Elephas maximus indicus: one gene and its partners. The protein of the gene in region 1 interacts with the protein of each later gene in a pairwise test. Links are inferred from orthologs where the notes say so. Each region holds a gene or a part of one and is shown in the gene's direction. Other genes may lie near its edges. The genes, in order: FHL3, PAK5, PIERCE1 and RHEBL1.

Region 1 (7,782 bases):
TTACCTCAAGCCCTCTGCAACTGTTTTTCCCTCTGCCTGGAACTCCCTACCCTGATGCTCACTTGACTGGCTCTTCCTTGCCCCTCAGATCTCAGCTCAAATATCCTCTCCAAGGGGAGTTTTCCTATCACTGCATTTGCTATAGCAGCCCCCATCCCCAGCCTATCACATCACTCTATTTTATTTTCTTCAAAACACAGTCTGATATTTTTGCTTGTTTTCTTATTTATTTCTGCTTCACCCCGCAACCTCCAGTTCCACACATGTCCATGAATGTATGTAATCTCCATGAGATCAAGAATCATGTCTTATTTGCTGCTTGTATCCCCAGTGTCTAGAGCAAGTGCCTGGCACAGAGTAGGCACTACATTAATATTTGTAAATTAATAAATTGCCACCACCACCATCTCTGCCGCCACCCTGCAATCAACTCTGTGAGGGGATGTTTATACCATGAAACCTGTGAGGGCCAGAACTTGACGGGACTGCCTTGTTTTCCCAAGTCTCAAAAGTTTTCTGCCTTTCATATCCTGTGCAGAGGGGAGATGAGAGGGCAGAGGCAGTCAGAAGCTGGCTGAAAGGACAGAAAAGAGAGAGTGGAAGGAAGGAGTGTGCTGTCTCATGAGGGGGACAGCAATTAGGAGTATATAGCAAGGTGTATATAAATTTTTGTATGAGAGACTGACTTGGTTTGTAAAATTTCACTTAAAACATGATAAAAATTAAAAAAAAAGAAATGATCCTCAAAACTTTGAAAAAAAAATGTTTTCTGCCTTGTAACAGGTGCAGTCACCACTTTTCTATTGCACTCTATTTACTGAAAAATATTTGCGTTTTCCTTCTCTAACAGGTTTCCTCCTTACACAAGTTCCAGCTTTTGCAGGCTTTACTGTGTTATTATCCCCATTTCCCAGGCAACACAGAGACCCAGATTGCGCCATCCAGTAGAGCTTTCTGCCAGTGATGGAAATGTTCTATATCTGCACTTTCCAATATGGTAGCCAATAGGCATGTGTGGCTATTTAACACATGAAACATGGAATTGTGACTGAGGAGCTAATTTTTTTTATTTTAATTAAGTTTAATTTAAACAGCCACATGTAGTTAGTGGCTACTCCATTGGACAGCACAGTTTAGAAGGCTAGTCTAATGGAGAACACACGACTAGTTTGTGGAATAGCTAGAACTAGAACCATTGTGCCTCTGGTTCCCAGCATGGTGTCTAGTACATAATGGTGGTGGTGTTTGGTGCTGTAGAGTCAGCTCCAACTCATAGCAACCTTACATATAACAGAATGAAACGTTTCCTGGTCCTGTGCCATCCTCATGATAGTACGTATGTTTGAGCCCATTATTGCAGCCACTGTGTCAATCAATCTCATAAAGGGTCTTCCTCTTTTTTGCTGACCCTCTACTTTACCAAGCAGGATGTCTTTCTCCAGGGATTGGTCCCTCCTGAAAACATGTCCAAAGCAAGAGAGATGAACTCTCGCCACACTTGCTTCTAAGGAACATTCTGGCTGTACTTCCTCCATCTCTTTTACAAAAAGCCAAGAGTCAATAATGAGCCAGATTAAGAAGCTCACACATCAGGCCGAGTGACCAGGTGGCAGCCCAGCCACTCCTGCACTTCCTCCAAAAAAGGCATGCCCAGAAGGCAGTTTTGTGCCCTAGGGGAACCCTGAGTCAGCCCTGGATTTGAACTGCACATCGACCACCTGTGGGCTTATGATTTGGGGCCACAGTCTCAAACTCTTCTGAGCCTCATTTCCTAATCTATGAAATGGTGGTAATAATAATAACACATCGTATGGTTTTTATAAGGATTAAAGGAGGTAACGATAGCACTTAGCACAAGGTAGGCATTTAACCACATTAGGGCTCCCTGTACCATACTTCTCCCTTACCCCCATGCTCAGTAGAAGTCACTCATTTCACCATCTCCACCCACAGACCCATCGTCAGGCTTGGGGTCACGAGGACAGTGTTTTCTGGGCAATTTGCAAAAGGGTGTCGGCTAAGCCATGAGGCCTGCAGGGGCTCTAGGCTGCCTAGTACGTGTAAGAGTGAGCAATACACTCAGAGAAGGAAGGAAGTTTTCTCTCTGGGTGAAGGAGGACTTGTGGTTACAGGCATCAGAGAGTGATTCAGCACCCAGAGGAAACCATGAGAGGCCTGTCAGTCATCACCCAGGCCTCCTTTGAAAACCTTTCCAAGGTGGTAGAACAGCTGGGGACCCTGAGCAAGCCCCCTTCCACCATGAGACAAGGAAGGCTGTGTGGGACCTCCCAGATGTATAAAGGGACAACCAGATCTCACTCACCCCGAACCTGTCATGCAGCACTAGAAACTCTGCTTCCAGCCCTGGCTCAGACACACCTGTTCCCCAGAGAGTGGGGGAAGACAGATAGGGAACAGAGAGTCCATGTGGCTGATACCCAGGCCTTCATGCGGCACGTCCTCCTGGGCCAACCGAAATAGAGTGGGCAGGGAAATGTGAGCCCATCGGGGAGCTGGAAATGGAGAGGGAAAAAGACACAGTCCCCCTTCTCTAAGCCAGTCCCCCTCCCCCAGGAGATGTCCTAACCTTCTCTGGCCTCCAGGCTCCAAATCCAAGCAACAGAACCTTAACACTTGACCATGAAAGGGTATGTGGGTTTGAGGAGTGGGGGTAATTACCAAATATTGAAGACCTACTGTGTGCTCTCATCCAATACTCACAACAACACTATGTGATAGGGAGTCAACTATTCAACAAATGAAGAGACCAAGGCTTAAATGACTATAGAGGCTGTAGCGCCTAGTGGTTAAGCTTATTTTTGGCATAAGGGGCTTTGACATTTGATTGTCTGGATTTCAGTTTGAAGCTTTGCCATTATTAGTTGTGTCACTCTGCCTCCCTTTTCTCATCTTTAAAGTAAGGATAAAAATAATATTTCATCAATTTGTTGGATGATCAGGTGAGTTCCTACATGTCAAGTGCTTAGATAGGAACTGGTGCAAAGTAAGAATTCAGGAAACACTGGCTCGTATTATAATTAAGGCTATTAGGCAGAGATTCAAGCTATGAGAAAACAGCAGAGACCCAATACTCTGCCTTTAATCCAGAGCCTTCCTTACTTACTCATAACCACTTCATTTCTGCAAGCTTCTTACCTTCACCCTTCCCTCACCCCAGAGCAGACGTCCCTCTTGCCATCTACTCCAACTCAGTGACTCCCCAGGGCTGGGAGTCCCCTGCACCTGTGAGACCAGTCCCTAGACTCTGCGGACCTCAATGCCAGTGAAAGGGCCCACCCATAGGCTAGCTGCTCACTTCCTGGGCTCCGGATAGCAGGTGCCTATGGTCCAAACTAGGGGGTTGGAGTCAGATTGAAGCAGTGTCTTCATTCATTCATTCATCAGATATTTATTATGTGCCAGACATTGGAATAAATACTGAGAATGCAGTAGTAAACAAGATAGACCCAGTTTCTGCCCTCATGGAACTTGCAGTTTAGGCAGCAACAACAACAGTAATAATAAACAAGCAATTATTTAATTAAGAAAGGAAACCTGGCCCGAAGGGCAATTTAGCAATTTAGGAGTGGGAATCCAGGCAGGTGATGCAGAGATGGGAGAGGAGGGTCCTCCGGAGCCCCAGCATGGGAGGGAGTGGGTCCCTGCCCTGAGAGCTTGGCAGGACTCAGCCTGGGGAGGGGTTGGGGGGCCTCTGTGGGTACCTCAATCTCTAGATGCCCGAGGTTATTTCCAGGGTTGGTTTGTTGTCTCTTGTTTTGCAAACAGTACAGCAGAGCCTCCTTCCTCCCTCCCCCTTCCCTCCAGAGGGAGGCTATTTATTCCTAGTGACAAGCCTGAAGATCCCAGGGGGGGTGGCCTCAAGAACCTGGAGAGGCACCATGTCCCTGGCAGGTGCCAGCTCTCCCTCCCAGGCACAGGGAGGAAGCCAGAGGCTCAGAAACTGCAGAAAACGGGGGAGGGTTCCCTCCCCTCCATTATTTCTGCCACTCACATCCTCACACCCCTCCTAAAAAAAAAAAAAAAAAGCCCAAAGATCATGGGGCCAAGGATTAGGGTCTCCCCTGGGCATCAAAGGTCAAAACTATTTTTGGGCACTACGGAAATCAAGGCGGGATCTCACAGTGCCAGGTTTCAGCTGGGGTTGGGGAGGTAGTTACCTCTGTTTTTGCCGCTCAGGGTTGTGGAATAAGACTCTTCGAAGGTCAGGGCACTATAGGGAGGCCCTTTCTTCACCCCCTGTTTCCGGAGAACACCTGAGTTCCCACTGACCCAGCCGTGACAGCTGAATTGACTCCATCCCCTCCTCCAGGCTGGGTTAAGGCCTCCTACACACGCTCAAGCTGAGTGTGACCCCTGGGGAAAGCCGGTAGGGGGACACAAAGAGGGCATGAGGACTCTTTGGTCTCCTAGTAGACCCTGGTCTGCGGGGTCCACTGCCTCTTGTCCGGGGTTGAATACGGCAATCCCCCGCTTGCAGCTGGGGGCACAGAAGGGGAGACAGAGAGGACAGCAAAGGCTGCAGGGAGGGGGCAGGGGTGGGGTCCCTCCCTCCGGGAAGGTTGGGAGGGCCAGGTTAGGCTGGCCTGGGGGAGGGGGGTTGGGGCTGGCTCCAGTCTGAAAGGGAGGTGGGGGCGGGGCCTGGCCCCCAGCGGCCCGCTTGGGGGACCGGGGGCGGGGTCCGCACCCTGAGGGCAGGGGGGCCCGGGGGCGGGGGCCGGGCGGGGCGGGCTCCCGCGCTCACTTCCTCGGGGAGGGGTTGGGGCCAAGCTCCCACTCGCCCACACAGTCCGTCTCCAGCCGGCAGCCTCGCCGGCAGCTCGCTCGGCCGCCGCTCGGCCCGGCCCGCAGGTAGGAGCCGCCGAGAGACGCGACCCCCGGTTCCTGTCCCCACCCTCACGGGCGCTGCGCCCCGCTGCTGCCGCCTGCTTCGAGGTGAGCTCCCCGCCGACCCGGCTCTGAATCCCAGAGCCGGGTCCCCTCCCTCGGGCCGGGGAGCGGAGACAGCCCGCACAGGGTTAAGGACAGCTGCGGCTCCCGCCCCCTGCCCAGGTCCGGCCGGGGACACCGGGCACGCTGGGAGCCGGAGGCGCTGAGCACCGGAGCGCCGGCTGTCCCGACTGGACCGCTCCCGGCCGCCTGGCGGAGCGGGGGCTGCCTCGAGAGTGGGGCGGGGGAGGGGACGAAGTTTGAAATAGAAAAGCCAGAGAGACAGACTTCGGCCTGCAGAGACCGGGAGGGTCCGAGAAACAGGCTGGCAGAAACCTCGGTGGACCGAGACACCGGGACAGAGACAGGGACATGAGCGGTTGGCTTAGGCTCCGGGTCTGCGGAGACAGACGGGCTACAGACATAATGGAAACACGGACACAGACTTGGTGTACAGAGTCACCGAGAGACGGACCCGAGATATAGGGACAGATTAGGATTTTGTGGAGCATTTTAAGAAAAGACATTCATATGACCCCGTAAACACATTGCTAGGGCCTTTGAGTGCCCTGAACTTTATGTTTCTTTAGCTTCCTGGTAAGCCCGCCTCTGGATTCACTGTCTAGCTCAGAGGGTAGAGGTGGAGACACTGAGGCTTTCTAAAGACAGACTGTGAGACCAAGATTTGAGTGTACAGAGGCAGAGATCCAGAGAGGTGGTGGCCACCACTGGGAGATAGCTAGTCAAAGACAGACACCCAAAAACATAAGGAAAGCTGCTGAAGTGTGCTGAGACAGAGAAATTATGAGCAGAGCAGAGCCAGAACTCCAGAGACTGAGATTTAATGGGAGCAGAGAGACAGGCGAGCTGACAGCTTCCAAGATAGACCCAGAGACCCAGGCCAGGAAAGATGGGGAAGCCAGGATGTGGGGAAGCAGAAGCTGAGCCAGCTGAGCCCCCCGAGGCCCAGGACCTGAGACAGTGAGATTGAGATGAAGAAGCAGCCCCACGAATACACACAGCCACCAAGGCAGCCCCAACTTATTTTTAAACTCAAGTCTTGGATGCATTGCTTCAGCCCTGGGGGACCTAGGGTGAATGAACTCTTCCTCCCCTGTCCCCAGAGCAGCTGCCAGATCCTGTGCCCCATCCCTCTTTGCCTAAGCTTCTCTGACTTCCAGGTCCCTTGGGGGAACTGAAGGGGGAAAGGAGTTTGGGATTGGTGCCTGGTAGTGGGGAGTGGGGGAGTTTGGTTTCACCCCTTAAGACTCCTGTCAACTCCTGGGAGCTGGGGGAGGTGTCTGTCCTGATCCTGACTCACAGCTGTGGGGCCCTCCTGGACAGTTGGGGGCTGGAGGGTTTGAGTGGTTGGCATGGGTAATTGGAAAGGCTTCTGGGTGTCTTCCAATCGCAGAGCTGGCAGCTGGGGGGTAAAAGGGGAGAAGAGCCAAGCTCCAGTCCTGGTGATATTACCCAGCATCTCCTGTTTCCCTGCCCTCAAATACTGACCAGCCCCTCCACCACCACCAAACCCCTTTCAAAGGATTTCCAGGGAGAGAAGCGGGAATGGGCTCCAGGCTGGGTGGCAGAGACCTGGGCTTTCTGACTACCTGAGTGATCTTGGGCATGGCCCTGCCCTGGCATTCTTATGCTCAGCTGGAGAGTGATGCCTGTCTTTTGAGGCCTGATGAGGTAGTGGGTGTGAATGCTCTTTGGGAGGGCAAAGCTGCATGCTGGTGCGCACACACCTGTGCCTCTGGGATAGGTTGCAGGCAGAGATAGGCTTGCTGGAGCAGGGTGGCTGGGCCAGAGCCACCACTAGCCCTCCTAGTCTCCTCAGCCAGCCCCATGGGCCTCAGGGCCTCTTCTATTCCCCAGCTACACTGAGAAAGTACAGTTCCCTTACCTATGTCTTAGTTATCTAGTGCCTCTATAACAGAAATATAACACAAATGGGTGGCTTTAACAAACGAATTTATTTTCTGGAAGTTTAGGAGGCTAGAAGTCCTAATTCAAGGCGCCAGCTCTAGTAGGAGACTTTCCGTTGGCTCTGGGGGAGGGTCCTAGTCTCTTCTGAGCTTGTGCTCCTGAGCAATCTTCACATGGCTTGGCACCTCTCTTCCCCCATCTCTGCTTCTAACTTATGTTTAATCTCTTTTATATCTCAAAAGAGATTGACTCAAGATACACCCTACACTAATCCCGCCTCATTAACATAAGACAACCCATTCCCCAATGGGATTATAACCATAGGCATAGAGGTTAGGATTTACAACATGTATTTTTGGGGGTCATAATTCAATCTATAACACCAGGCCTGGCTGAGAAACTGCCATCTGACCCCACTATGAAAAATGGACTAATAATAAAAAGACCAACAGCCAACATTTACTGAGTGTTTACTATCTGCCAGGAAACCCTGGTGGCATAGTGCTTAAGTGCTTTGGCTGCTAACCAAGAAGTCAGCAGTTCGAATCCACCAGGCGCCCCCTGGAAACCATGGGTCACTTCTACTCTGTCCTATAGGGTCACTATGAGTCAGAATCGACTCGATGGCAGCGGGTTTGGTTTTTTTTGTTTACTATCTACCAGGTACTTTACAAGTATCACCCCATTTAAACCTTACAACAACCCTAGGAGGTAGAGAGTTATAATTACCTCATTTTATTAGATGGGAAAATAGGCTCAGGGAGCTTAAGTGACTTGCCCAAGGTCACCCAGCTTAGTAAGTGAAGGGAGCCAGGATTCAAACCCAGATTTAAGATTTTGCTCCACACACCAAGTCTGTTATCCAGCCATTCTGAGCTCTAGGAGGTTTGCTAGGAAGTGCCAGCT
Region 2 (6,919 bases), on another chromosome or scaffold:
TTTTTGTTATAGCAGCACTAGATGACCAAGACAGATGTATATCCTATAAGCTTTTTGTTTATGTTAGTTGAAATCTTCTTTTCCAACTCCTGTTCTTCTTCTAACCCAATAATCTAGCAAATGCCCAGTTCTTTTCTGGAATCCATGCTGGTTCCATTATTATTGTGACTGACCTTTGAAGGATGCCAGCTATTTGCTTCTGCTGCAAAAGACCTCTTTAAAGTGTTGAAAAGCAAAGATGTCACCTTGAAGACTCAGGTGCACCTGATCCAAGCCATGGTGTTTTCAATCACCTCATATGCATGCAAAAGTTGGACAAGGAATAAGGCAAATTGAGGAAGAATTGATGCCTTCGAATTGTAGTGTTGGCAAAGAATATTGAATATGCCATGAACCGCAAAAGGATTGAACAAATCTGTCTTGGAAGAAATACAACCAGAATGGTCCTTGGAAGCAAGGATGGTGAGACTATGTCTCACATACTTTGGACATGTTATCAGGAGAGATCAGTCCCTGGAGAAGGACGTCATGCTTGGTAGAGTAGAGGGCCAACGAAAAAGAGAAAAAGCCTCAAGATGGATTGACACAGTGGCTCCATCAACGGGCTTAAGCATAACAATGATTGTGAGGATGGCGCAGGACTGGGCAGTGTTTTGCTCAGTTGTACATAGGGTCGCTATGAATTGGAACTGACTAGATTGCACCTAACAGTACAACAACAAGCTATCTGCTGATTAACAGCATGGGGGAGAGTAAATAGTAGGGAGAGTAAGCTGAACCTTGATTCCAGTGTGTTGTCTTAAACATCTTCCTCAACTCATCTACTAAGTTTACTACCGCTGAGGTACATTTTTCCACAGGTTTTTTATAAGATTGGTTGAGGTCAGTTTTTCATGAAATATTGACCAATGGGTAGGTCTGTTTTATTGAAAAACATGTTCTTCTAGGTCAATCTAATATTTAATATCCCAAAGCTTTCAGATTTTAACTATAGATTTTGATAGCAGAGAAAAGACTTCTTGAATAGCAGAAAATGAATATATGCCTGCTCAATAGATTATAATTCTTCACATAAGAAAAAAGAATGTATATACCTAGACAACTAAATAATCAGATAAAATACTTCCAACTTCTGATTACAGGTTATTGCCCAACCTTTAAATCCCTGAGCTGGCTAGAAAAGCCATTACTTATTTAAAAATTTACACTTTTTGAAATTTTCTGGCAAATCAGTTGAGTTCCACTGCCTCAGCTTCAGGGAGCTGCCTCATCTGAAGTTCAAGCCCCTTCCAGGGGCAGCCCATACGCAATGATTCACAAGGCGATACAAAGACCAGACCATCTCAGCCCATCTTGGGGGAACTCTGAGGGCCACTCTCACTCCAGAACTCCCTGTGAGGTTGGCCAAGCCTGTCATCGGCCTGTGTCACAGCTTGACTTCTCCCTGTGCCCACTCTTGCTTCCACCATCTCTCAGCCATAGGTGTTGGGCCCAAGGGCACTCCTTAATCAACAGCCTGCATGCTAAACTCTGTCTCAGAGCCAGCATCATGCGGAAGCCAGCCTGCAAAAGTGAGGAAAGTAAGAAAGAACGCTCACTAATTTCTCGGGTTCACACAGCGAGTTGAAAAGACAGAATCACAAGTTAAGTTCCTAAATTTTCTGCCCTACTTAGATACTTTGCTGTATGACTTCTCTAAGTTCCACTTATTTATCAAGAAAAGACATTATATAAAAAGAAATCCCTTGGCACTTAATGCAATAAAGTATTTACAGAAATATTATTAGTATTAATTTATAATTTTTACCTGGCAAACTTTCAAAATGAATTTGAGGCAGCTAACAATAATCATAGTATTTATCTAGTAGAAATAACCACATGAACACAAGCGTTATATATAATAGGAGAGATATTTTAAATGATCAAAGCACTGTATTTCAAAGCATAATTTTAATTGATACCACCAAGCCAACAAATAAATAACTCTGTGAATATGTTTTCTTTTGCATCTGTGCTCACTCACATACAAAAAAATCAAAATAGAAAATATTTATGCAAATAATGGTGCAGGTGGCAGTGGGGGTGGTAGGTGGGTAGTTAGGGCTATGTGTGCAGCTTAGAGAATTAAAGAGATGGGTTTGGAGACTCCTATTCCTCTGATTGGTACACCATGAGTGTACGATATGCCATGATATATTTCCCCACCATACACAGGAGTACTGAGGAAGAAAAGTCATCAACCATTTAGCCCACAATTCCTGTTCTGATACAGAAGCTGCTGCATGAGGGTTTTAAGTGAACAGAAGACAAACAAGGGGAAATGATAACTATTCCACCACTAACGAGAAAACAGTCTATGGTTATTGAGTATAATAGAGTACTGATAGATACAAACCCTCATTTTGTAATCTGCTATCTATTCAGTTATGGGCTCCCATGATACCATATGCACTAGCTCATAAGTGTATTGTTGAGGCAGCTGAGGACAGAAGAGGGTATGACTTGTTTACTCTTAGTATTTGTTCTCCAAGGTTGAAAATTCATGCCTGGCTTCCTCATGTCTTTCTCTCACTGTCGTGTGGGCAGGGAATACTCTTGACGATGCTGGAGCCTTTGGGAGCTGGGAGGGGAATGGGTAACTGGAGGATTTAAGTAGAACCACAAGATACGTTAGAAGCTTTAGCCCAAGCATCACTCAAGAGAAAAGCCTGTCATCTCTTGGCACAAAAATTGCCCTCCTTTTATCAGAATCTGTCAGTTCTTTTTAGTCAGGTAAAAACCGAAAAAAAAAAAAAAAAAACCTACTGCCACTGAGTCAATTCTGACTCATTGCTACCTTATACGACAGAGTAGAACTGACCCATAGGATTTCCAAGGAGCAGCTGGTGGATTTGAACTGCCGACTTTTGGGGTAGCAGCTGTAGTCCTTAACCACTGCATCACCAGGGCTTCCCAGCCCTATCATTACATGTACAATAAATTGACACTTTGAAGCCCAGACTGGGGAACAAGCAAGGCACACTGGTTCACACTTAGTGGAGCAGTTCAGTGGTGGCTAACGAGCAAAGTTGGCAGCAAGAGGCCCAGACCTCATTTTCTAAACCAGATAGTAGCCAGTTAGGGCTGGGACATCAGAGCTCGGTATTAGAGGGCACAGCAACCCCAGGTGCTACTACATTTGTGGAGTTACCAAGTCATCTGTAGGTAGAAGGGGCCTATGTGGGGCCAGAGACCATTTCTGGGACAGCTGATTGAGGGACAGCCACTCACAAGCCACCCATGAGGAGTTGTCCGGGTCGTTTCTACCCAGTGTGGAGGATCAGCACCACTTGGAAGCTTCTTTGACATGTGGGATCTCAGGCCCCTCTCCAGAACCGAATCAGAATCTACATTTCACTCACAGGCACAGTAAAGTTTGAGAAGTGCCGGTCCAGGTGGTCCCCACTGCTAGCAGCTGATCAGCCTTTCGGCTCCGCCCTTCCTCCCCCCCTCCCCCTTGCTGGCTTTTTAAGCGAAGCTCAGCCCGGCCTTGTCCTGCACGCGCAACAGTTCGGCAAACCCGGAGGGTGTGGGGAGGGCGCGCACGAGCTGCCCCCGCGGAGAGGCCAGAGGGAAAAGCGTGACCGGCTAAGGGCTGCGTGCCCCGCACTCTGCTGTAGGGCGAGCCGACACTCCCCCGACCCACCCCTTCTCCACGGCCTGCGCCGCTCCAGCTCGCCTCCCCGGCTGTCACGAAAACCCGGAGTCGTGGCGCGTGCTCCTGCCACGTCCTCCTAGGGGCGAAGCCCGGCAGCCGGACATGCTCAGTAGCGGGAGGAGCTTTGGGTGGAGAGTAGAAAGCTGTGGCTCTACCTCCCACCCCCTCCCTCTGGCCCCCGCCCCCCTTGCCCCTGCTCAGCTTGTAGTAGTTCCCCAGCGTGCGCCCGGGGAGACCGGGAACATGGCGCTCGGAGCGATGTAGCGGCTGAGGAGAAGAAAGGGATGAGCCACCGCGCTTCGTTGACAGCCAGCCACCAGGTAGGCAGGCGCGCCTGGCGGGGTTGCCTGGGTGGACATCCGCACGGGGAGGGGCGCTTGTGGGGATGCGCGCGGCTGGGACCCGGGGCATCTTGCTTTGCCGGGAGAGGATGCGAAGAGGACATCAGTGACAGCGCGCGATTGTGCATCTCCTAGGAGATGCCCAAGGCTGGGGACCGGCTGCTTAGAAGGAAGGGATCCAAGGACTATCCCCCCACCCCCCATGCGCTACCATTCAGCTTGGGATCCCTATGGGTCAAATAAAGGGTAGTTCCTTTCTGTTGGGCGAGAGGGCGTGGGGAAGAAACCTAGATAGCAGCCCGGGGAGCGCGCTGGTACCCCGGACCTCTAGCAAGCCCAGCACCGGTTCTTTTGTGTATACAGCCGCGCACGCCCGGGGGTGCCACGATGCCTGTTTCTCCCGAGTAGTGTTGGACATATTGCCAGGGCAGGATTCCGGTATGATTTTTGTCTCTTGGCAGGTGTGGACTGGAAGAACCAATAGCTGAGCCTTTATAGGGCTGTGTTTTCCTTTGTTACTTGCCTCGGTATGTGTGTGTGCGCGTGGTGGGTTGTAATGGAGAGAACCAACTTCTGCTTGTGGGCACGGGTGTGGGCAGAGTGTGGAAGAGGATCTCGGTTCCAAACTCTTGTCAAAATTGTGAGCGGTTTTGGCTTCCTGGAGGGTAAACTTGAAAAGTCCAGGGACCATCAGTGCCCAGTTTGGGTTTGGAGGACAAGCCTGATCACCTCTCTTGAAACGTGTTTAGCTGGAGCTTTAAACATAGGACATGAGTTAATGCCTCAACATTACATATCAGTAAAGGACATTGAAAGTATTGGTGCTATCTTTTTTTTTTTTTTTTTTATGATGGACGTTTCAAGGCCAGGGCAATAAAGAGAAAGAGAAGTTGGCATAAAGCCAGAGAGAAGTGTCATTGTTAATAGTTGATGACAGCTTGCAAGACTGAATACAGTTTGGGGGGGTGGGGAATCAGGAAACCTGGCATTCAGCTAAGATGCTACCAGGAAATAGTCGTAGGGTCCTAGGGAACTTAGAGAACCTCTCTGCACCTTCTTTTCTCTTCTCTGTTTTGGTGGCATGAGGGTACACCCTCTTTCCTGAGTCTAGAAGGACAAGATGCTCTTTAAAGGCTCCTTCTAAATTAGAATTCTATGAAACCAGTCCCTAACTACAACCTTACATTTGCATATCCCATTCAGGGAATTGACATGATCCTGTAAGTTCTCTCCTACATTTGTATGTATTCAACATTTTAATTTTTTTCTTTATGATATAAAGGATGGACATCTGTGAATATGAAGTTTAGAGACACTTCTACACTGACACTATTCATTTTTCTGGTCTCCTTAGGTGGCAAAAATGAGCCAGTATCATCAAAATAAAATGGGAAATGCTTGAGAAAAATGCATTTAAGTAAATCCTTGACTTGGAATACGTATGTACCAAGCAGAAGCATTGCTAATGGAAGCAATAGAAGTTGATGGCAAGTTCATTGATACCATTGGTCTTAGAATAAAATTTTTGTGTTCCTCTGTGAATGGATAGAGATTGATTGATTGATTGCAACTCATTACTTTGGTGATGAGTGTGAATTTTCATTGCACGCATTGAAAACACCAACACTACTGGTACTAGAAATGGGTGTTCTAGGATATGGTATCATCTCGATGAGACAAAGCTGAGTTTGAACTCTAGCTCCTCCACACTTATCTCTGTGATCTTGGGTAAGCTATTTAGCTTTCGCAAGCCTCAGTTCCCTCATCTGTAAAACAAACCTGGAAGTAGGAAGAGTAATACCTAAATAGGTAAGTGTGAAGATTACTTATAGTATTAACCGCCAGGGAAATAGTGATGACCATTATAAGGGGAAGGGAAATGGATGTTTATTGAACCTATACTATGTGCCCCATATTATGTTAAACCCGAAAAACCCAAACCCATTGCTGTCGAGTTGATTCCAACTCATAGTGACCCTATGGGGCAGAGTAGAACTGCCGACCTTTTGGTTAGCAGCCAAACGCTGACCCGTTGTGACACCAGGGCTCCCATATTATGCTAGTCAGGTTCAAACATGTGATTGCATTTAATCTTCCCAAAATCCCTATGAACCATTTTAATGACAATGTTAATATTATGTCAGCCTAAAAGAAGAAGGTAAAGTAAAGTAGATAAGGTCAAAAAAGACCTTAAAAATAATTTAATACAACTAACCTGTTTGAGGGTTTATGTACCCTTCCGTGGTGAAGGGAAGAACAGAGCTTAGAGGTACCTCACTTACACAGATTCACTTATCTGGAAACCCAGACAATCCAGGATTCAGATCTTATCTATAATGTACTGTCCCAAACTGATTTCTTGATATGGTTTTCCTCCCTTTTGCTACCCCACCAACACAATGCAAAACAAATGAGCAAAAATCCAAAGAAAACAACCAAAATGACAACAGCAACAAAAATATCCCAAACTTAACACCTTTCTAGTTTTTCTTATCCTTGTAAATGGCACTATCGTCCATGGAGTTGCTTCAGCCAGAAGCCCGAGGATCATCTTTGACACCTCCATTCCCTTTATTTCACATCCAAAACCATCACACGGTCTTATAAATTTTGTTTTCTAAATATATCTCAATGGAGCCTCCATTCCATCTCTACCACCAACACCATCAAACTCCAAGTCATCATCTCTCACTTGGGCTACTAATATAACTTCCTAAGAAGACCTCCTGGTTTCTTGATCCTTCTAGTTTCTCATCCACAAAAGGCAGTATCATGTGAATTCCCTGCATACAACACATCCATACAGCTGGGACGGATTACAGAGACTCCTGAAGTCTTGGGTACGGGGCCAGCCTCATCTTCAACATGTCTTCCTCCCAAT
Region 3 (7,218 bases), on another chromosome or scaffold:
CTCACAAACAAGATGATCCCTTTGCGATAGGCCACGTGCGCCATGAAATTCAAGGCCAGCTGGAGGTGTGCGGCTGTCTGCTCCAGATCAATGATGTCCTGGCCCAGGCGGTTCCCAAAGATGTATGGCTCCATGAACCTGTCCAGGAGACCCAAGCAAGGTGAGGGCGAACAGGGCTCCCGAGGCTAAGACCACCAGCCCCTCCCTCATGACAGCCCTCCACAGCAGGCCCAAGGCTCCTCAGCAGGGGTCACACCACCCCCATGAGCACAGACAGCAGCGACCACCCCATCCAGCGAGTGACTGCAGGGCAGGTTGGGGGCTGGGCTTGAAGGGCTGCAGGCCACTTAGGAGCCTCAAGCAGTGGCTGAAACCTTCTGACCCTCTGCTTCTTTCCCAGGACATGGGGATTCTAACAACTGCTGGATGTCTAAACACAGTGTCATAAAGTATCCTCCCCGGTGTTGGTCACACAGCAGCCATTTGTCGTTATCATGGTCTCCAAGGCTTTACAGACAAGATCCCTCTGGGACTGAGGGACCAACAGAGCAGGGGAGGGGCTCCAGGCTGAAAGCATGGCAGGGTCGGGGCAGGCACCAGGCAAGTCAGGGTGGCGGACCCCAAGGGCATAGAACCACTGGCTGCCCTGGGCAGAGGGTCAGTGGGGCAGAGGGACTGCACTGCCCCACTTCTCAGCGTGTGGCAAATGAGCCGTCCACACCAGTGGTCCATGTAGCCTCCCCTCCAGTCCACTCTTCAGCTCACTCCTGCTTGGGTTTTGTTTTCTCAACTGACACCACTCACCAAGCACCCAATGACCCTCCTTACCAGATCCCTGGTCCCTTCCTGCCTGCAGGCCTTCTCAGCAGCGCTAAGCAGTCCCCACGTCCCTCCCCCCGCCCCGTTCTCATCCCTCCTCATACTCTTGCCGTGCCTTCTCAGTTTCACCTGCTGCTCCTCCTCCTCTTCGCAGCCCTTAGAGGGCCCGGGGCTCATTCTTGGGGGGACCTCCTCTCCATTCTGCCCTCCCTCTCTAGATGACCCCCAGCGCCCCGCCTCTACACAAGGGACTGCACTCCCACGTCTCTCCCAGGCTGGGGCTTGTCCCTCCATGGGCCTGCCTGACATCTCCCTGGGATGGCCCAAGGCCGTGACTTCCCCACGAGGTCTCCCAGCTGCTCCTCCACTCCGCTGATGACATGGTAGTCAGAAGAGCTGCACAGACACCTCTGATGGTTATCACTCCTCCACGTGACCCAGCATGTTCCCACTGCTCCTCCTACAGCCTAGAAAGCCCCACCTGATCTGACCTCACCAACCCCTCCCCGGCCTAGGCCTCCTGGCCCTTCTGTCTCTGACCCTGCCAGGCCTTTTGTTTACTGCCAGCTCTGTCCCTGCTTCAGGCAGGGGGCCACAGGCCAAGGCCCTGAGCGGTCAGAAGTATGAGCAAAGCCGTATGATAAATCAGTGCCCAACCCGAAGCTTGGTTCCCACTGAGAGGATGGCGGGGCTGGACCTAACAGTGGTGAGGACAGAGTGGACACCGAAACCTTCGTTCAGTTAAACAGAATGACTCACGACAGTACAAAATGTGCCCCTGAACCCCCAGGGAGGAAGGGACAAGGCCTGCTGGGACCAATCGCTGATACACACACCTAAGCTGACATCCCACTCAGCTAGGGGTTTTACCCTACCTGTGGCGACAGCCGGCTTTGTGTCCCAGGTGCACGCGGGCATTAAAAAGGCTTGTAACAGAAAACAATTCCTTGACATTGAAGAAGTCGGAGTGCTTGAGGGGCTCATTTATAATTTCGTCATTGAAATCTACAGCAAAGCACAAGAGAGAAAGGAACATGACTCTTAATGCAGGTTGCAGAGTGTGGCACTGGCCCACCCGGTCCCATCTGCCTGCGAACAGAGGAGACGTGGCTGGGTGGGTGAGAGAAACCATCAGTTGAAAACACCCAAAACCAGGCGATCTGGAAGCTGCAGATTTTTACTCCCAACAAGCTCAGGCCCTCTGTTACAGCTGAAAATTCCTAACCTCGTAATCTCAGGATACTAGAAACTGGAGCTGGGTTCTGATCACGACTTCACTCTTGGGTAAATCTGTCACTGCCCAACCCTCAGTTTCTAAAGTCCTTCTAGCACCTTCAGGCATGCAGTCTCAGGTGCCAGAAGACAGCAGTTGGGGCTGACGCCCATTGGGAGTCTAACAAAGTGCACTCAGTCCTTCCGGAGCCTGATGGTCACCAGACCCGTCAGGAGAGGGGACCCTGAGGAGGCTCGGGTGTTCTGACTCGGAGCTCTATGTCTCGGTGGTTGTTGTTGGTGGGTACTATCATGTTGATTCTGACTCATAATGACCCAACGTGACACAATAAAACTGCTCCATATGGTTTTCCCGGCTGTAGTCTTTACAGGCTGAGAAGGCCTGCAAGCAGGGAAGGACCGGGGATCTGGTAAGGAGGGGGCACTGGGGCGCTCGGTGAGGTGTCGGCTGAGGCACAGATCGCCAGGTCTCTCTCCAGCGGCGCTGCTGAGTAGGTTTGAACTGCCAATCTTTCACTTAACCAGTCACACCGCCAGGGCTCCTTCCCGCTCTGGAAAGGAGGTGCTATGTCAGCTCTTTGCCCAGGTGACCAGAGCGGAGCTGAGCTGCAGTGAGCTACGGATGGACCCCAGCTGCAGCTCAGGAGTGGTGGAGCCAGGGTTGGGACTTGAGGCTGGGTGACCCTAAGGCCCTGCTTTAACCATGTAGTTTGTCGGGAATTGCTGGGCTCGGTTTGGGCAGTGGGGACAAAGCAGCCAGTCAGAGCTGGAAATGATGACAGACTGAGGCACTGACCAGGCAGGCGGCCCTTTCCCCCACCCCTCCTTGGTCCAGGCAACCCCAGGGCTTTACACCTAAACCCAGAGGCACACAGGACTCCAAGCGGCAGATAACTAAGGCCTGACTGACTTCCCACTGCATGTCCCCCTATCTGCTAAGCAGCCCAGGGTTACCGCTACGGTCCTCGAGCTTGCTGACAGTAGAGGCCGGGGCGCTTCCAAACGTCCTGTTGCTCAGCTGAGACGCTTCTGGGGTCGCCTTCCTGAGGAAATCCAGCCACAGCGACTTGGGCCAGGCACCTGGGGGAGGAGGCAGAGTCCAGACGCTGAGAAAGGCGGCCGAGGCTCTGTCAGGCGCTCCGCTCCAGCTGCGGGCTGTCGGCAGTCTGTCCGTCCTTGCAGAGCCGGCGGACGACAGTTCGCCGCCTCCCCCCGCGGCCTGCCCTCCGGCCCGACGCAGCCTGACGCACGCGGGCCGCCCTGCAGGCCCTGGGTCCTGGTCCGCTGCGGGTGCGGTCCCTCCGACCCCAGCGCAGCGCTGGACCCAGGGCCACTGCAGCGGAGCCCCGCGCGGGCCAGGGCTGCGCGCCGTCGGGTATCTCAGCGCCCGCTCGGGGCCGGTTCCCGCCGCGGCTCCAAGACCCACGCCCCCACCCAGGACCCTGCGCCCCGCCCCAAACACCTCCCCGCGGGCCCTTGGAGCGGCGGGCATGCACGCTCACCGGCGCCAAGCAGCCGAGGAAGCGCGGCCCTGACGGGCGCCATGGCGCGGGCAGACGCGGAGCCAAGCCGGACGACCGGACTTCCGGCATGTGGTCCCGGACTTCCGGCGGGCGGCTTCCTCTTCCGCCGCGGCCACGCAGGCCGCACCGCCCCCTGCAGGCCGGGAGGTGGCACTGCACGCCCGCGCCCGGGCCCAGGGCTCTGAAGACTTCTCCGGCCGTGGCTCCTGGTTCCCGGCACCCGCCGCAGTGCTGGGCCCCAGAGCCTCGTCGCGGCCCGGAGGGAGGGAGGGCGCGGGCCGGGCCGGGGGGCACAGGTCGGGGGGCGGGGGCCGCGGGGCGGGGTCAGATCCTGGGGCGGGGCGGTGGGAGGGACACAGGTCAGGGGGCGGGACCGCGGGGCGGGGACCCCGGGGCTTGGGTCAGGGTCCCGGGCGGGGCCGGTTGGGGTGCACAGGGCGGGGGGCGGGGACGGCGGGCGGAGTCAGGGTCCCGGACGGGGCGGGGGGACCCCCGGCCAGGGTGCGGGGACCGCGGGGAGGAGGGCCGAGCGCGCGGGTTAGAGGGCGGGGGGCGCAGGCAAGGTCCGGATGGGGCCGCCGGTCGCCGGGGTAGTGGGTCCTCCCACCACTGTCCCGGGAAGGGCGGCAGGAGCGGCCTCTGGCCCCCTCGCTGCAGAAGTGCGAGGCAAACCCCAGAAGACTGAGAGCCGTCACTCGCGGGAACCTCCCTGGGGGATGAGGACCCTCCTAGCCTCCCGCCAGGAGATTTCTTCCCCAAGGCCAATACAACCTTTCTCACCGAGACCATTTATTATTTCTGAACACTTATATTATATATTCGTTGCCGTGGAGTCAATTCCGACTCATAGCGACCCTATAGGACAGGGTAGAACTGCCCCATAGAGTTTCCAAGGATCGCCTGGTGGATTTGAACTGCTGACCTTTTGATTAGCAGTCGCAGCACTTAACCACTAGGCCATCAGGTCTGAACACTCTGCACTCCATAAATTTATCCAAATGTCGAATTTAAATTTAGACTCAGGGTATTGGGCACATGAAGTTACCGGTCAAGATGCACCCCGGCGCATACAGTAAGCGTCAAATCATTGATTGACACGTGGCCTTGGGGTAACGGTAACCCCCTCAATTTGCTGATGAAGCCCCCAGGACCTCGGGTTTCATTTGCCCCCAAATCCGACCCCAAGGCTCCATATCCTGCGCGCCTTCCACTGCGTTTTGGAAAAATCCTCGGTTGGGTCGCGCGCCTTTTCGCCTGATGACTAATAGTGACACGCTCCGCAGCCCCGAGTCCCAGCAGGAACAGGCTCAAGCCCTTTGTTGTTCGCAGGAAGGTTCTAGACCTCGCATTTATCCCAAGTCCCAGCAGAAGCCCTGGCCTGCGTGGCTCGGCGCCTTTAAGAACCGGGCCCTCCCCGGTCAGGTGACCAGGCCGTCGCTAAGCAACAGGACGCCACGCCGACAGTCGCGGCTTTGCTGCCGAGCGTGCTTCCGCCCTTCTCGTTGCTGCGGTGGCCAGAGACAATGTCCCAGGAAGACCCCAAAGAGTGGGCAGAACCCGCCGAGCACAAGGCCAAGTCTCCCCCGGAGAAAACCAGCGACTATTACCGAGTGAGCGAGGACCTACCGGCCAGGTTCAACAACCCGGGGTGGTTTCGGGGCTACAGGTGAGGAAGAAGGTGCGAGGTGAGGGGAGCTGGATCTCCCCTAGGGTCCACCTGGCGGACACAGGAAGGAGAGGCCCCCGGGTCCAACATGGGGGGGGGTGGTGAGCAAGGCGCCACCAGCTGCTCTTTCTCCCAGCGCTCAGATAGTCCTCTATGCAGGGGTCCTCCAGCCCCCCCAGCCTCTCCTGGCATCTGAAGGCAAGAGCAGTAGCGTGGCCAGCAGCATGGCTCGTGCTGTCCTGGACTGCCAATGGCTGTGAACGTGCTGCCTAAAATTTGCAAACCTACACATGGGGTTGGTGGGTGCAGGCCAGGGCAGTGGGGTGGAAGGGGCCCCAGGGGAGACCAGAAAGCCCAGGCCTGGTCCCAATGCCACCGCGCTGTGCCCTGGGGCAAGTCTCCCCTCCTCTCTAGCCTCCGAGGCCTCCTCTGCAAAACCTCCATCCCGGGGCTGTTGGCAGAACCCACCACCCGTAAGCTATTAAAGTGCTCTGAACGCCGTGATGAGTGATAGGTGGCCGCTGTGGAGTCACCCTGCACTCAGGGCGGCCTCGGTACCACAGAACAAAAACTTGCCTGGTCCTGCATCATCCTCACAAGCTTGGCACGTTGCAGCCCATTGCTGCAGCTTTTATGCCAGTCTGTCTCACCAGGGTCTCCCTTACCCCGGTGGCCCTCTCCTTCAGCAAACGCAGTGTCCCGCTCTAGCAGTTGACCTCCCCGATGACATGTCCAAAGCCAGCGAGTTGGACCGTGTTCTGTGTGATTCATAGGTTTTCATGGGCTGGTTTTCTATAGTAGATTGCTAGCCTTTTTCTCTCTAACGAATGTTGTTGTTGTTGTTGTTAGGTGCCGTTGAGTCGGTTCCGACTCATAGCGACCCTGTGCACAACAGAACAAAACACTGCCCAGTCCTGAGCCATCCTTACAGTCATTGTTATGCTTCAGCTCATTGTTGCAGCCACTGTATCAGTCCACCTCATTGAGGGTCTTCCTCTTTTCCGCTGACCCTGTACTCTGCCAAGCATGATGTCCTTCTCCAGGGACTGACCCCTCCTGGCAACATGTCCAAAGTATGTAAGACGCAGTCTCGCCATCCTTGCTTCTAAGGACCATTCTGGTTGTACTTCTTCTAAGACAGATTTGTTCGTTCTTTTGGCTGTTCAGGTATATTGAGTATTTTTCAGCAACATGACAATTCAAAGGCGTCAGTTCTTCTTCGGTCTTCCTTATTCATTGTCCAGCTTTCATATGCATATGATGCGATTGAAAATACCATGGCTTGGGTCAGGCGCACCTTAGTCTTCAACGTGACATCTTTGCTCTTCAACACTTTAAGGAGGTCTTTGCAGCAGGTTTACCCAATGCAATGGATCTTTTGGTTTCTTGACTACTGCTTCCATGGCTGTTGATTGTGGATCCAGAGATATCGTTGTTGATGTCAGCTGGATCCTGGCTGAAAGCAGAGAATACCAGGAGGATGTTTACCTGTGTTTTATTGACTATGCAAAAGCATTCGACTGTGTGGATCATAACAAATTATGGATAACATTGCGAAAAATGGGACAATGAATGATAGCAGATATCTATTACTGTGGGGCCCTGTGCTCAGCTCCTTGCTGCCCTCCACCACCTAATCCCCTCAACAGTCCTATACAGCAAGGTCTACTATTGTCTCTGAGATGTAGAAAGGCACTAACTTGTCCAAGACCCTGTAGTTAGCATGCGGCTGCGCTCTCTGAATGCAGAGTCTGGCAGGTAAACAGCTCTGCTGGCAGGGACCGTGGATACTGCACATTTCAGGCAGGCTTCTTCTTGATCTGCACTGGTGGAAGCATGGCCTCCGCCAGCTGGGACTCAAGCCCAAGGACCCCCGGGTGGCAGGCTGGAGGCTGGCAATGCCAAGGCCCCATCAGCCGGAGCCCCGTGATCCCCAGGAGGGGGCTCGTGGAGGCTCAGCCAGCTGGCGCTGGGGGT
Region 4 (7,567 bases), on another chromosome or scaffold:
TCCTTTAGCATTTTGCCTTCTCAGGCTTTAAGGTCCAGCTCAATTGAAACCTTCTATGATTCTTCCAGATGGAATTAACTGTTTTTCCCTCTATGCTTCTAGCTTCTTACACTGTGATGTGAGATTTAATATAATTTGCCTTAAACCTTTACTTGAAGAATTTTTCATTATGTGAGAGGTATATCATTCAAAGTCCTTGTAGGAAACAGACGGCACACTCAAATGGGGTATTGAGGAAAATATAACGAAAAGACTGTTTATAAAGGGGTGAATGAGGTAAAGGGGTACCAAGAGTGATGGAGCATTCTCCATCTGGCATCAGTGGGGAGACATTACTACCATAGGTCTGAAGGGTCAAGGGGAAGGGGTTACAAGAACCCAGAGAAAGCTGTAACTGTAGTTGTATAACAGGGTTGTGGCCTCTGATAGATGAATGTAACCACTGCCAAAATGTAGCCCAACAAGAAGCGAATAGGAGAATAAAGACTCTGACCGTCTCTCCTCTACCCTACAGTCTCTGGCCAGTGCCTCCCATTAGCTAAATACAACTGGAGGTCAGAGGGCACTCATCCAATCTATAAAGTTCGGCTTCCCAGAGCATAGAACAGGGTTGAGAAGGCTGAAGAGAGGATCTGCAGAAGCAAACCAAAGATGCCAAGCTAGTAAGAACCATAACGCTAAAGTTTGGGTCTTTAGTGAAAGGCCTCCAGGTCAGGAAGGAAAGTGACAGAGAGCATCTGAAAGCAATTTATTAGCTAATCTAAATCTAAGAAACATAGCATGTCTACGTCTTATCTTAACTCTATATCTGCATATGCTAAAAAAATGTTGATAGCAAAGCGAGATGATTATCCATTTTCCTAATTAGAAGACCCAAAATAAAAGGAGCTGTTTGGTCAACTTTTTTTTTTTTTATTATGCTTTAAGTGAAAGTTTACAAATCAGTCTCTTATACAAAAATTTACATACACCTTGCTATACACTCCTAATTGCTCTCCCTCTGATGAGATAGCACAGTACTCCCCCCACCCCCGCCCCGTGTAGATTCGGGTAGCTTCTGGACACCTCTGCCCTCTCATCTCCCCTCCAGACAGGAGATGCCAACATAGTCTCATTGTCGACTTGATCCAAGAAGCTTGTCCTTCACCAGTTTGAGCCAACTTTTAGGAATTAAACAGTCAAATGTATACTTATAACATTACATATAAACTAAGTTACATATAACTACTAACCCATTGCAGTTGAGTTGATTCCAACTCATAGAGACCCTATAGGACAGAGTAGAACTTCACCATAGGGTTTCCAAGGCTGTAATCTTTACAGAAGCAGACTGCCACATCTTTCTTCTGCAGAGTGGCTGATGGATTCGAACCGCCAACCTTTCAGTTAGCAGATGAGTGATTAACCACTGTGTCACTAAGGCTCCCCTAGTTACATATACATACTTAAAAGCACATATCCTATAAAATAATAGATTGATTTTGCTGTTTTTCCATTTCAAGAATAATTTTATTCAAGCTCTTTATATTCATTTTCAATATCAGTGTTTTTATGATCACCAGAACTTCTCTTGAAACTTAAATGTGATGATGGAGGTGAAATTAACTTGAGACCATGAGGTGATAAGCATGAGGAAAAGGTCAAGAGAACTGCAGATGCCAGATCTGACATTATACAGACTCATGGCACTTACCTCCAGTTTTGCTACCTGAGAAAAATAAATCCCTGTTTAAGCGATTGTTACTTGAGTTTTCTGTTATCGCAGCCAAATACATTCTTAACATTCAAGTGACTACAACAATAAGCTGAATATCAGAAAATTCAGGTTAATGTAGGTTGGGTGCTCAACATCAAGTTTCCAGCAACAGATGTCGTAGATGGTCTCATTGTCTACCACGAAGATACTTCAGAAGAAAGGCCCAGCAGTTTGTTTCTGAAAACTTAGCCATTGAAAACCTTATGGAGCACAATACTACTGACACATACGGGGTCCCCATGAGTCAAAATTGACTTGACGGCAACTGGCACAAATGTCATCTTCTCAGACTTTCTAAGATCTCATATAAAAAAGAGGAGTATCATACCCCAAGTTACTTTCTAGCCCATTAATATCCTGTTGTGTTTTTTAAATTTCATTGTGTTGTTGTGTTGCTGTTAGGTGCTGTCAAGCTGGCTCCTACACACAACAGAACAAAACACTGCTTTGTCCCGGGCCATCCTCACAATCTTTGATATGCTTAAACCCATTGTTACCAACACTGTGTCAACCCATCTCATTGAGGGTCTTCCTCTTTTTCACTGACCCTCTACTTTACCAAGCATGATGTCCTTCTCTAGGGACTGATCCCTCCTGATAACGTGACAAAGTGTATGAGATGCAGTCTTTCCATCCTTGCTTCTAAGGAGCATTCTGGTTGTACTTCTTCCAAGACAGATTAGTTTGTTCTTTTGGCAGTTTCACTGCAGTTATTACTTTTTTTTTTTTTTTTGGTAACTTATGTATTGTTTGCTTGTAGATTGTTGGTCTTCACCTGAAAGAATACTTGTTTCTTGAGAGCAAAGACCTTGTCTGTGTTGCTCATTGTTCTGTTCCCAGAACCCAGAAAGGTGCCTGGGACATGGTATTTGTTCAATAAATATTGGTGATGAATGAACCAACAGACCCAACTATCAACCTTAGGGTTGTTGCCAGTATTAAATGAGATAATGCATGAAATATACCAAGCACATTGGCTGGCACATAGTCGTTGTTGTTAGATGCTGTCGAGAGTAGAACTGCCCCATGGGGTTTCCAAGGAGCAGCCGGTGGATTTGAACTGCCAACCTTTTGGTTAGCAGCTGAGCACTTAACCATGACACCACCAGGGCTCCTGGCACATAATAGAACTCTTCCCTTCCCTAATCTCCTATACCAAATTCTTTAGCAAGTCAGCTTGACTTCAGCTTCAAACATGTCCTGAATCTCCACTTAATTTCATCTCCACTACCACTATAGCCAAGCCACCAGCATAACTATCTAGACTACAAACAACAGTCTCCTAGTTGATCTCCCTACCTCTAATCCATTCTCCATAGCCAGGGAGACCTTTCAGAAACACGTATCAGATTACGTCATGCCCCTGCATGAACATCTTCAACAGCTTCCTCCTGTTGCCATCAAGTAGATTCTATTCTGACTCATAGTGACCCTCCAGGACAGAGTAGAACTGCCCCATAGGATTTCCAAGGCTGTAATCTTTAAGGAAGCAGACTGCCATATCTTTCTCCTGCAGAGCAGCTGGTGAATCCGAACCACGAACCTTTTGGTTAGCAGCCAAACAAGAGTTTAACCACTGCACCACTAGGGCTTCTCAACAGCTTCGTAACAACAACAACAAAAAAAACCCAGTGCTGTTGAGTCAATTCCAACTCATAGCGACCCTATAGGACAGAGTAGAACTGCTCCATAGAGTTTCCAAGGAGCGCCTAGTGGATTCGAACCGCCTACCCTTTGCTTAGCCGCGTAGCACTTAACCACTACGCCCCCAGGGTTTCCCGACAACTTCCTAGGTACTTAGAATTAACCCAAATTCTTTCACCTGACCTGACCTCTGTCTTCCTCTCAGACTTACCTGATTTAGGCTCACTGGCTTTTTGCCCCCATTCCTGGGATTTACCAAATTTATTTCTACTTTATGATCGTAGCATTGGTGAATTCTTCTGTTGGAATCTACTACTAGTTGGCTCCTTACTGCCATTCAGATCTCAGTTTAAATGGGACTTCCTCTTTTCCTCTGAGAGGAGGTATCACTAATCTAAAGTGGTCATTTCTTATCACCTCTTTTATAGCACTGAAGACTATCTGATATCTCCTTGTTTATATGTTTGACTTCCCCCACTGGGTTTTAATGTTCATGAGAACAGTAACCTCTTCAGTCTTGTTCAGTGCTCTGTTCCCAAAGCCTGGAGCATAAAATAGAGCTCAATAAATATGTTGAATAAATGAATGTATTGAGGATTAAGATGATGATGACGACGATACCTCATACGACTTGGCCACAAATTCTAGCAATTTTTCTAAGAACAAGAATTGCCATTCAGAGGTTAGATTCTGGAAGACTGGGGAAATCTGACGACTGTCACAAAAAGGTCTGGGGCTGAAGGCTGGGGGAAGAGAAGGGAATATATTTAAATGTTGGCCTTCTTTCCCCATCCAAAGACCCCAGTGGCCTTGTAAAAGGGAGGACTAGAGTCATTTGACCAGAAACTCCAGCTCAGACACAGCGGGCATTTCCCATTCGTGGTTCTTCACAGCCACTCCGCTAGTTGCAATTGCGCAAACATCTCTAGGACCCCGGGTTCCTTTCTGTTTCTTTATGAATGAGCCGGCTCCAGTCTGCGCACGCGCAGCTCCCAGCTCTCCCGCTCCACGTGAGACCCACCCTTCCCTCCTGCTCGCGACCCCGCCCTTATTCTTTCTAATAGACCAATGGGGAACAACCTGGGGGGCGGAGCTCGGAGCGGCGCGGCAGTGTAGTTCCCTCGGCGCCGGGCTCCCTCGGTTTAGTCGTGCAGTGTTGTGATCACGTGGCCGGCTCCGGGCGCGGCGCTTGTTTTGGTTTCCCTATAGCTTGGCCCTGGCAGCTTCTGGGTGAGCGACTTTCTTGCACGGTTGCCACGCCCGCTTACACCCTGAGCTCCTCTTCTTCGGGCTTTCTCAGCCTGCAGTTCTCCAAGCCCCTTGGGGCGGGCTCCTGCCATGCCGCTGGTCCGCTACAGGAAGGTGGTCATCCTCGGATACCGTTCTGTAGGTGAGTCTCCGCCTTGGGGAGAGCACGGACGCACCGCGGCTTTGTGGCCAAAGGGGGCGCTCTGTCGCGGGAGCCCGACCCAAGGAGGAACGGAGACATCGTGCGAACGTTAGTGTAGAGCAAGGATTGAAAGGGTGGAAGAGGAAGGGCTGGGTGGGATGGGGTGGGGACCGCTGCAGGGACCAGGGGCACGCAACGGTTAATGTAGGATTGGCTACAGGAACAGTAGAGTGATTCCCTCGGCTACGTTGGGGGTGGGAGTAGGGTCAGGATTTGGTGCAGGGAGCACGGTCTGCGTAGGGCTGGTGGTCGCAGGTGCCCAGGATCGGGGCGGACTAGACGCTAGGGAATCCCGAATCTCCTGGGGGAAGGGAAGGCTGCGGGAAAGCCTTCCTGCGGCGCCACTGGTTGTAGTGTAGCTGATGTACAGAGACCCTGGGTGAAAAGAGAGTGGCAGTAGGCAAGGGGAAGGCATTCTTGGAGCACTCACAGGCTGGGGTGCTAATTGGGGGTCCCTGTTAGTCCAGGGCCAAAGACTGAAAGGTCGGAGGGTGTGAATGTGAATGGGGGATTTGGATACAATTACCACTGCTCCCCACAGGGAAGACATCTTTGGCACATCAATTTGTGGAAGGCGAGTTCTTGGAAGGCTATGATCCTACAGTGGAGAATAGTGAGTAGAATTCTCTGTTAGTGTGACAGGGCTAGGGCTCCACCCAACTCCATAATGTGGAATTTCTCTGGTGCCAAGGGTCTTATTTAATTAGACATTAAATCCTTTTCACACAATCCTGTTCTGTGAGTGGAGCTAGAGTTTGGATCTTGCAAGATACTGTGTCCAGGGTGGTGTAGTTGTAGACAATAAGAACCCTAGCATTGTCTTTCCAGTTTCCTGGAGAGCTCCCTGGACCTGGTCCATCCATTGTTACCCCCAGGGTTAAGATTGTATGGGGGCACATGTTGCTAGCCCTACAAGGCCCCTCATGGTCGATTTTTCTTTTCAGCTTACAGCAAGATAGTGACTCTTGGCAAAGATGAGTTTCACCTACACCTGGTGGACACTGCAGGGCAGGTACTAGTTGGGGTAGGGTAGCCGAACGTGGCAGTTCAGCCTTGGGAGGTGAAGTTTTGTAGCCTCTGAGGCTTATTTGAGAAGTAGTATTAAAAGTAAAGCATTTTAGCAGCTAGCAGTGTGCAGGGCTCATTGGAGCTACATTATAAATATTTGTTGAACAGAAGTAACTGGAGTAGGGAGGGTCCCTGGGGTGGAGTCCCACCAACCTTTGCCACCTGAATGGTGTAGATCTAGGTATTGATGTTTCTATTTCTTATCAGGATGAGTACAGCATTCTGCCCTATTCATTCATCATTGGGGTCCATGGTTACGTGCTTGTATATTCTGTTACCTCTCAGCATAGGTAAGTGAGAAAGGCTGTGAGTGGGGGACTTGTAGGACCTGGGTCTGTCCCAGATTTAAGGTTACAGCTTTATATCTGTGTTTGAAGCTTCCAAGTCATTGAGAGTCTGTACCAAAAGCTACATGAAGGCCATGGGAAAACCAGGTAAGTGGCCCTGGGGGACAGAAACATCCTGTGGACAAGAGGGGGTGGAGGACAGCAGAGGGGAGAATGGTCCAGTTAGGGAGGACACGAGTACTGCCTGGGCTGATGGGGAGTTGTTCAGCCCTGATGTGACTGACGTGAGGGAGGTTAGGGTCCATGAGGAATGGAAGGGGATCTTATAGTGACTGCTGTTTCCCTACAGGCTGCCGGTGGTGCTAGTTGGGAACAAGGCAGATCTCTCTCCAGCTAGGTATGTGAATCTCTGCTGCTCAGGATGAAGGAAAGTGAGCTGGGCCAGGAATCACCCAGGCCCTATTCCTGCCGCTGCCACAAGTTTTGGCAAATCATTTCATCTCTGTTTCTAACTTGAGGGTTAAGATGAAGTACCCTTCTATCTCAAAAGCCATAATTTCCCATAGGGTACCAAAATAACACTGAATGAATGAGGAGTAAGGAATAGGAACGAAGTGGGTGGAAAGTATTAGCCCTGCTTCGTCATAAAAAAGACCACAACTATCACTGCTTGGAAAAGGAGAAAATAAAGAATGGAATTAGTCGTGAGCTCTCCCCCGACACAGAGAAAAACAGAGAAGTCAACAACAAAAGATTTCTCAATTTATTTGTGTATATACATCATCACCCCAGGGAGCCAGCTCCACTTCAGGAGTTCCCAGCTCCCCTTACCCAGCCAATATCCTACAAGCCTTTGTCCCACATTCACTCCTCACTCCTTTGTTTATATCTTCTTTCTTAATCCTCCTCCCAAACCTTGGGAAAGTGGGGTAGGTCAGAGGAGGTCTAGATTCTAAAGATGTTGCAAACAACATGGGGGGACATTGCCATCTTCCATCTTCATGTCCTGAATTTGTTTCCAGGGAGGTCCAAGCAGTTGAAGGGAAGAAGCTGGCAGAGTCCTGGGGCGCGACATTTATGGAGTCATCTGCTCGAGAAAATCAGGTACTTGACCTGGCCATTAGCAAGGTAGAGGGAGTAGTACTGTTTTTCTCATGGCACTTCTTAGTGGTGGGGATGGTGGGGAAGTGGGGTGTTCACCTCAGACCTGGGTAGTGTTGGCATGAACTAACTAACCTTTGCCTTGAATCTCTATCCTTTGCAGCTGACTCAAGGCATCTTCACCAAAGTCATTCAGGAGATTGCCCGTGTGGAGAATTCCTATGGGCAAGAGCGTCACTGCCGACTCATGTGAGCCTTTGG

The links.
Region 2: the proteins of FHL3 (region 1) and PAK5 interact in a two-hybrid assay, tested with the Homo sapiens proteins (2 studies listed by BioGRID and IntAct). The two-hybrid records come from large-scale screens. The link is inferred for Elephas maximus indicus from reciprocal best matches to the Homo sapiens genes FHL3 and PAK5.
Region 3: the proteins of FHL3 (region 1) and PIERCE1 interact in binary tests that used the Homo sapiens proteins (3 or more experiments, as listed by UniProt). The two-hybrid records come from large-scale screens. The link is inferred for Elephas maximus indicus from reciprocal best matches to the Homo sapiens genes FHL3 and PIERCE1.
Region 4: the proteins of FHL3 (region 1) and RHEBL1 interact in binary tests that used the Homo sapiens proteins (3 or more experiments, as listed by UniProt). The two-hybrid records come from large-scale screens. The link is inferred for Elephas maximus indicus from reciprocal best matches to the Homo sapiens genes FHL3 and RHEBL1.

What each region holds. Positions count from the first base shown.
Region 1 is NC_064821.1:79,579,914-79,587,695, reverse strand, and holds the start of FHL3 (four and a half LIM domains protein 3), read left to right. Parts: upstream 1-4,782; 5' UTR 4,783-4,953; intron 4,954-7,782. UniProt on the Homo sapiens protein: Recruited by SOX15 to FOXK1 promoters where it acts as a transcriptional coactivator of FOXK1.
Region 2 is NC_064843.1:48,555,383-48,562,301, reverse strand, and holds the start of PAK5 (serine/threonine-protein kinase PAK 5), read left to right. Parts: upstream 1-3,912; 5' UTR 3,913-4,017; intron 4,018-6,919.
Region 3 is NC_064827.1:3,242,524-3,249,741, forward strand, and holds the start of PIERCE1 (piercer of microtubule wall 1 protein), read left to right. Parts: upstream 1-4,215; 5' UTR 4,216-5,098; coding exon 5,099-5,241; intron 5,242-7,218. Other genes in the region: MRPS2 (28S ribosomal protein S2, mitochondrial), read right to left, coding at 1-138, 1,695-1,824, 3,007-3,132, 3,555-3,597. UniProt on the Homo sapiens protein: Microtubule inner protein involved in the attachment of outer dynein arms (ODAs) to dynein-decorated doublet microtubules (DMTs) in cilia axoneme, which is required for motile cilia beating.
Region 4 is NC_064822.1:104,488,715-104,496,281, reverse strand, and holds the start of RHEBL1 (GTPase RhebL1), read left to right. Parts: upstream 1-4,554; 5' UTR 4,555-4,738; coding exon 4,739-4,790; intron 4,791-5,391; coding exon 5,392-5,463; intron 5,464-5,794; coding exon 5,795-5,862; intron 5,863-6,125; coding exon 6,126-6,208; intron 6,209-6,295; coding exon 6,296-6,352; intron 6,353-6,554; coding exon 6,555-6,602; intron 6,603-7,227; coding exon 7,228-7,309; intron 7,310-7,469; coding exon 7,470-7,559; 3' UTR 7,560-7,567.